Linked DNA regions of Rattus norvegicus. The protein of the gene in region 1 interacts with the protein of each later gene in a biochemical or structural test. Links are inferred from orthologs where the notes say so. Each region holds a gene or a part of one and is shown on either strand. Other genes may lie near its edges.

The links.
Region 2: the proteins of Fgfr2 (region 1) and Fgf10 are reported together in a solved structure, tested with the Homo sapiens proteins (3 studies listed by BioGRID and IntAct, with this or other methods). The link is inferred for Rattus norvegicus from reciprocal best matches to the Homo sapiens genes FGFR2 and FGF10.

What each region holds. Positions count from the first base shown.
Region 1 is NC_086019.1:194,211,402-194,215,212, reverse strand, and holds part of Fgfr2 (fibroblast growth factor receptor 2), read left to right. Parts: intron 1-116; coding exon 117-307; intron 308-1,385; coding exon of another isoform or gene 1,386-1,533; intron 1,534-2,732; coding exon 2,733-2,877; intron 2,878-3,811. UniProt on the Homo sapiens protein: Tyrosine-protein kinase that acts as a cell-surface receptor for fibroblast growth factors and plays an essential role in the regulation of cell proliferation, differentiation, migration and apoptosis, and in the regulation of embryonic development.
Region 2 is NC_086020.1:52,532,658-52,537,031, reverse strand, and holds the start of Fgf10 (fibroblast growth factor 10 precursor), read right to left. Parts: upstream 3,094-4,374; 5' UTR 2,368-3,093; coding exon 2,022-2,367; intron 1-2,021. UniProt on the Homo sapiens protein: Plays an important role in the regulation of embryonic development, cell proliferation and cell differentiation. Required for normal branching morphogenesis. May play a role in wound healing.

The DNA.
Region 1 (3,811 bases):
TGGAGTCAGCCAGCAGACTGAGGCCATTTTGGCTTGAGTTCCCTCCGACAGCCTTCAGGACAACACAACTTATTTATTGTTCTCTCTCTCCCTGTCTCATCGCCTCTCTCCATCAGAGCGATCACCACACCGGCCCATCCTCCAAGCTGGACTGCCTGCAAATGCCTCCACGGTGGTCGGAGGGGACGTAGAATTTGTCTGCAAGGTTTATAGTGATGCCCAGCCCCATATCCAGTGGATCAAACATGTGGAAAAGAACGGCAGTAAATATGGACCTGATGGGCTGCCCTACCTCAAGGTCCTGAAGGTGAGAACTTTCTGAAGCCCAAGGGGCCAGCAGTGAGGGCCCCCTTGGAGATCTGGCTAGGGTCTTTGATTTCCTGTTGGCTTTCAGAGATGGTTCTCTTTATGGACTGGCCAGTAGAGTATGTTAAAGAATGAGTAGCCATTAGAACTGTTAATAACATTCTGGAGGGGGTTGTGAAGTAGGGTGGGGCTGCTATACTTGGAACCAGAGAATTCTGCTGTTTATTAGCCCTGAGGAGATGCTAAAGCTGGGGTGAGGTATTGCTTACAAGGCGATGTAGAGAGTAGACGGATTGAGTAGATGGAAATAACTGGAAAGCTCTAGACAGTTCTACTAATGTTTTCCTGACGTTGTTTTATGATACTCAATGCTATGTTGATATATAACATTTGAATCAAATTGTAGTAGTTAGAAACAATTCAACTTTCTTTTTCAAAAACATTCCCTCTCACCTTTTATGATTTTTGTGTGGTCTAGAGAGTAAATGGTGTGTGTGTGTGTGTGTGTGTGTGTGTGTGTGTGTGTGTGTGTATTTTCACATCTATAAAACAATGAACGATGAGAATTTCCTTTCCTTTGTATTAAAAGAAATACTTTTTTTTCATGTACCCATTGTTTTGTGGCTTTAGCCTCTTCAGTTTTGGGGCCTGGTCACCTCTTCAGTGCACTGAGCTAAGTCTGTATTGTCAATTCTAAGCCACTGTCTATCTACCATGCTCCTAAGGGGCATAACAGACAGCCAGTCTTCCTATTCAACTATAGGCACAACAGGTGGCTAATGAAGAACACTCAACCTATAGTCTTCTCTCTAGCCAGCAATACCCAGGATCCAAAGTGCTGGAGAAAGACGGCCAGGCTGGAGAGCTGCTCACCCATCCCACCAACTGGTCACCTCATCCGCCCTCCTGTGATCACTACCGTTCTCCACCACTTGACTCATTGTGATCTCCTCCCTCCCACAGCTCTTTAGGTGTAATTCATGGAGATTGTTTTCTTGTGGTGTGTTGGTGGTGGGACCATAGGCAGCACCGAGTCCTTCCTGGTTGGCCGTTATATTGTTTTCCTATGTCTGTTCTAGCACTCGGGGATAAATAGCTCCAATGCAGAAGTGCTGGCTCTGTTCAATGTGACGGAGATGGATGCTGGGGAATATATATGTAAGGTCTCCAATTATATAGGGCAGGCCAACCAGTCTGCCTGGCTCACTGTCCTGCCCAAACAGCAAGGTAACAACGTTTTTGTGTTTGTGTTTTTTATTTTTTATTTTTATTTTTTTTTTTAAGAAAACTGAATATAGGAGTTAAAAAAGACTCGGTGCTTTGGGAGGCAGCAGGCAGCTTCTAGAATAACTCTTGTGGTCTTGGTATATTTATAATGATCTTTCTTTGGTGGTGCAGCTGGCGTCATGCCAGTGGCCATGGAAAAATGCCCACAATGTTCAAAGTGCTTGAAGATTATCTTCCACCCCCACCCTGTTTTCAAGCCCTTCTTTCTGGTCTGTCTTGTTTGGACTGCACACTTCCCGTGATCACTGTGTCTGAGTGCACGTGGGCCTTGCGTTTGCATGCCCGTCGAGTCTGCACTCTCTGATTATTAAGCCAGACTTGGTTGCCTTTTATGCTAGTGACATAGAGAAATGCTAGCATGATAGGATTCACCTAACGAAAGTTTTGTTCTTTGGTTCGATTCCACACCGGATCCTTTCCAAAACTGGAGAATGGTTATCTTCTAGTGCGTATGACACTGGAGGATAGTGAAGGCAGATGGTGGAGTTTTCAGTTATCATTCTTCACACGCAGACATATTCATATTAGAAAAGGAAACAAACCATAAATCCAGTTTTTTCTGTTACCAGTATTACACTTTCTGCCATGTTCTTTCAATGATCATATAAAGCAAGATGATTTTCGGCCTGAATGAAATTAACCAGAATCCAGTCACCAAGATAACGTCCCACCCTGGTTCCCATGGAGCCTGAGGGATGTGTGGGATGTCCACCTGATCTGCCGTGCTTTATTCCATCACACAGAAAATAGAAGAGCCTCCCCTTTTCTCACAATTGGAGTCTGCATCCAACAGGACCAGAACCCAGATTAGCCCTCAGGGTATTATACTTTTTGGAAACCCACTCCCAAATCCATATGCAAACAAATTCAAAGAGAACGGACTCTGTGGGCTGATTTTTCCATGTGTTCAATCGCATGCATGTCTAGGTGGTGACGCCGGTGTGGTGATGGGCCTGCAGAGGTGAGCTGGCCGGTGTCTCTCAGTGTCTCTTGGTTGTGGGCTTTGTGGACGGGCTGCAGTTGGAATCTCCTGATGGCCAGCACCCCCTGGACCTGCTGGGACAAGGCCTCTTGGTTCCAAGGCCCCCTCCACAATCATTCCTATGTCTAGCCTTTTTCTTGCTTCGTTTGTTTTCTAGGCCGCCGGTGTTAACACCACGGACAAAGAAATTGAGGTTCTCTATATTCGGAATGTAACTTTTGAGGATGCTGGGGAATATACGTGCTTGGCGGGTAATTCTATCGGGATATCCTTTCACTCTGCATGGTTGACAGTTCTGCCAGGTACATACAGCTCTTTCTTTCCATGGGTTGGCCTCTGTCCTTGGTTGATTGCTATAAAATTAACACAGCTTCTGTTCTTAGAAATAGCCCCATTTATCCATTGCATAAAGATGTCCCCCAAATGTTTCGAATGATTTCCGACCCCTCCACCCCCAGAACAAGAAACGGTCTTAGAAATTCATGCACAAGGAGATCCCATACTAGAATTTATGGTCACATAAAATGTTACCTTTAAACTCAAAGGGATCTTATAATCTTAGTGAATCATTGAGATGTCGACTCAATGAGCCCATCCCCCAACCCCCTAAGAAGGAAGTCAAAATTACTTTGTGAAATTCAAAGCAATTTGTTTTCCCCATTGTAAATTCCACTTTGCTGAAAGCCCATATGTGGTTTGATGCCTCTTGGTCTGACTCGCTTACCCCTCATTTGAGTGCAGATAAATTTGTACTGGGGTGCCCAGGAAGCACCTCTGAAGGGAGGTGTGCAGAAGCGGTGTGTTACCTTGGGAATCGGGTGGCTTGCTGCATGCCTGGATAGAGCGGACTCTTGGTTTGCTTTTACTGCAGAAGCATGTGTATGCTGTCTCGGGCTCGATGTTATTTCTGCCTCATAGAGAAATAAACATCAGCAAAGCCCATTGCTGTCTAAGCCTTTAACCAACGCCTCTGTTCTAGTCCAACTCTCTTGGTCCATGCTGCTCTCTCTCTCATGCATTGCCTAGCATTTCCTTTGGAAACCTGCATAGACTGGGTTGCAGCTCATGGTACTCTCCTGCTCCTGTTATGAATGCCTTGTTTCTAGAGTACCATGCCTACTGCATGCTTGTTTTATAGCTCGTAAAAATAAATGGATCGTTTTGTTTTGTGCTATGCTGCTGAGAGTTTTGACTACCTTTGCAAATATTTGGTTTATTTTTTTTTCTGATTAAAAT
Region 2 (4,374 bases), on another chromosome or scaffold:
TCTCAAAACATCAAAAGAAGGAAGTAGCCTAAGGATTAAACCTTAGAAATTTTATTCCATGGCTTTGTGTTTTCCATATGAACTAATGGAAATCAAGCTATGGGGATTAAAAAAAAAAAAAGACAAACAAAAACAAAAACCTGCAACCCAAGCTTAGTTCTTCCTTTGAGTGGGTACCACCACCCGATTCTACTTTAGAAGTAGGCAAAAATGTTAAATTAGGTAATCAAACCATAAGGGCTATCTATAGGATCCGTAGCACTCAGTGACAGACTTTCAAGGAGGAGTACTCATTCTTACTAATAGAATTCCAGCTACTTTCTAAGCACCAGAATGAGATACGTGTGTGTGTGTGTGTGTGTGTGTGTGTGTGTGTGTGTGTGTGTGTGTGTATGTAAAAAGGTATTTAATATTTCCAAAACTAAACTTTCAAATGCTTCTGCAAATGTATTGCTCATAAAGGCATTGCTAATTTTAATGAGCTATTAGGATACAAGCAAGTGAAGACTAGCGAACATTAATGTTGGTCCTCCGAGAAGAAATCTGAGTCTTAATTCCTGTAATCTCTATCGAAAAATAAAATGCTTAATTCTGGTCATTTGTCACTTTCATCAGGACCTGATAGACTCTGAGTCGAAACTTATGAAATGGCTATGACTCACATATTTAAGTTTACTGGCCAATATATACTCAGAATTCCCAAAGAACTATCACAAAAAGTTCCCCTTGAAAGGTGACTTGGAATTTACTGAAAGAGCCAAGTGGTCATTAAAGATGTTTAAATGTCATTGTCTACTGTCTTCAGTGCGCCATTACCTAGCCTTGGGATCCTTTCAAACAACAATCAATGGAGGATGAATAAGTCTCGGCACTTGAAAGTAACCAGGAAAGGAAACCAACAGAATAATCTGGCTTGGCTGGCTTGATTCAAGAAGAGACATGGTATCCACCCCTTCTCTCCCCATTCTTCCTCCCCTTTCAGCCCCCCAGCTCCCCACCCCCCACAAGACAGAACCAAAAGAAAGACCAGGGAGAAAGGAAACCCGGAGAGAAAGAGATCCAAGGGTCCCCTTGCAGAATGTGTGCTGGGAGACCAACCTCGCCCTATGGGATCCAGCCTTGGAAAACAGACGTGGGCTTTTACTTTGAAAATAAAAGGATGACAATGAAATTTGTGTGAGGTCTGCGTGAATCCAGTCCCAGATGTTTACAATGCTGTAGTACTATGCCTCTGCAATATGAGAGGTTTCAGAAGAAACAGTACAACAAGACACCACAAAGCAGCGCATATGCGATTGACAATGCAGACATGAGCATCATGTTACCGAGAGAAGGCAGGCAGGAGACAAATAGCAGCGGTACTGCCCGAAAAACTAACTTCATGGACTGCAATCACTCAAACCGAAATGAAGGACCCGAAAGGAGGGGTTAAAAAAAAAATCAAAACCAGGGAAAATAAACTCTTTAGCCTCTATCTAGAAGTGGTGGGGCTTTTGCTGGGGACCAGGGGGACAGTGGAAGTGACTTTTCTTCCTTCAAGTTCCCATAAAGCTCCTACAATTGACACTGGATAATTATTTTCAGCTTTAGGAGTCTGTCCCAAAACTCTTAAGATTGCCAGCGAAAAGAAACAAAATGTGTTTACTTGAGCCATTTCCAGAAGGGAGGGGAAGGAGACCTCTGGGTGAGATGGGGGAAGGTATTGGAGACAGAATGGGACATCTCCTAGCAGCAACAACTCTACAGCACCAGGAGTGATCCTGTGAGTGACAAACTAGAGAGATCAGGAACAGGGCTGCCAGGGATGTGGAGGAGGCTTGCACAGTGGAGGAAATGCTGCGCACAATGTATACTCGGGAGGGGGCTGATTTAGTGTGAAAGTATTCCACTTCATCATTTTACAGGGGTTGGGGACATAAATATTTAGCTGGCCACATCTGGAACAGATTCTGCCCCCCCCCCTCCCCGCGTGGGGTGGGGGTGGATAATTGGAAGGAGAGGAGCACGCATTTGTTACTTACTGTACGGACAGTTTTCCTTCTTGGTCCCGCTGACCTTGCCGTTCTTTTCAATCTTGAGAAAGTACTTGGTGAAGGAGAACAGCTTTCTCCAGCGGACATCTCCCTGGAGGTGATTGTAGCTCCGCACATGCCTCCCCGCGCTGGAAGGAGAGGAGAAGGAAGAGGACGAGGAGGAGGAAGAGGAGGAGGAAGAGGAGTTGGTAGCCTCCGGTGACACCATGTCCTGACCAAGAGCTTGGCAGGTGACAGGGACGGAAGACACCAAGAAGAGCAACAAGAAGCAGCAACAGCAGCCCGGCAGGTGGGGAAAGGCTGAGGCACAATGTGTCAGTATCCATTTCCACATTGTACTGAAACTCTCGGCACTGGAAATTGTCTCATCAGAAGGAACATACTGGAAGGGTAAGACCTGGTGCGAGGCAAAGAGACAGCTGGAGGTGATGGCTACTGGTTAGCTCCCTCTGGGTACGGATCTGGCCAGAAGCGAGTGCACCAACATCCATAACTCCTCGGAAGGGCCGGCTGCCTGTCCTCGCTCCGTCCTCGGATCCGCTGCCTGTGTCTCTCCAGTCTCAGGGTGAACAGTGGACGTGGGTGGCCGAGGCAGTAGGAACTGGTGGTGTCGGTCACCAGAGCTCTTCGCTCCCCCCGGGGGTTACTTTGTTCTCTTCTTCACTCCTTTCTTCACCATGTTAGATGCAAAAGAGGTCTGAAAAACAGATGACAGGACGGTGAACAAAACCCAAAGTGGGTGGGGTGGGGGTGCAGGAAGACATCTGCGCCCCTCTGCGGTTGGCACCTTCTGGTCCTTCTCTGCAGAGTCCCAGCCTGCTGGCCACTTAAAAAGTGTGTCTCTTTGGAGTTGTCAGAACTGGAGGCAGCTACCCAGGCGCTGTTGTTTTCTTCTCCTTCCTTTCTCTTTTTGGTGGTGCCTGTTGATGTGAAGTCTCCCGAAAGCCACTTCTAGTTTGGGGGGCGGCTGGCGGCTGGTGTTTTGTTTGGCCCTTCCCTCCACCTCCAAGTCCCTTGGAAAGCCGCTTGTAAACAGGTTGAAGCCTGGAGTCTAAATGTCAGTGCTTTTCAGCCAGAGGTGGGCTCTGCCTCTGCTGGTCAAACCTCATTTGCAGGGGTGGAGAAGGGGGGAGGGGGTCAAACGGCGGTGGGACATCTGAAACCCTAAGCTGCTGGGAACGCCAGAGAAAAGGGAGGGGGAAGAGGCCGCGGGGGGGGGGGGCGAGGGGGGAGCCTGGGCCAGAGGAGTGCGCGATGCCTTTGCTCTGAGCTGGGGGCTGCGGGTCCCTTCCTCGCCGCCTCCGTGGGCGCAGCCGCCCCGCAGCCTGCAGCTCCTGCTAATTGCGGCTCCAGCGTCCTGTGCTCGCAGCGCTGGCCACCAGCGCGAGCTGTCCGCGTGCTTTCCGAATTTTGCTGCCCTCCGGCGGGAACCACTCCCCTCCCCTACAGGGAGCCCCTTGCTCACTTGTTTTCCAGTGTAGCTTGCTTGCTTTCTTTCTTTCTTTCTTTCTTTCTTTCTTTCTTTCTTTCTTTCTTTGGCCGTGAAAATAAGAGTTTGGAGCTTGGCTTTTGTGTGTGGATGTGTTTCTGCCTTCCAGATCCCAGAACCAGGGAAAGAGGGCTGGGGAGAAGGCAGAAGAGGATGCTCAGGGCAAACTCTCTCCAAGAGCAGATTATAAACTGATAGGAGCTAAAGTCGAGAAGGGAGACATAATGAGCTAGCTTCGTTTCCTCCTCTCCTGCCAGCTTCCAAGGAGGTCTCCGGTTTTAATGAATCATTGATTTCTCGCTTCCGTTGCTGAAGTAAAAAGTTCACACTTTGGCCCTCTCTGTCTTTTTAAGCTCAGGAAGATTTATCGTCACCCTTAAACATCGCCTCTCTCTTGGCGCAAATGAAATCAGGGACCCAAGTTACTGATTTCTAATTGGTAACACGAGTCGTTTACAGAATCACGCATGGACTTCAAAGCCTATGCACTTTCCTGAGATCGCAGATTTTATCACACAATTTGACCAAATCCCCTGCTGCCTGTTTTTTTTCCTCTATGCAATTTCCTTTGCATTTTACCATTAAGAGGAGGTCCCCGCCCATCTTCAGACTTAATGTTTAAAGGGCTCTACTTTACAATGCAGCTTCACTACCTAACCAGTCTTCCACAAACAGTCTTGAGCACACCAACCCCCAACTCTACCTCTGCTCTCAGAAACAAGCTTTCAACCCAAACTCAGACAGAAGTCAGGACAAGACCAGGAAGCTATTGCCCTGAACCAAAAGGCACAAAGAAGGAAATACTGTAATAACCCACTCCTACCTGAGTATGCTACAGTTCTGAGTCCCAGG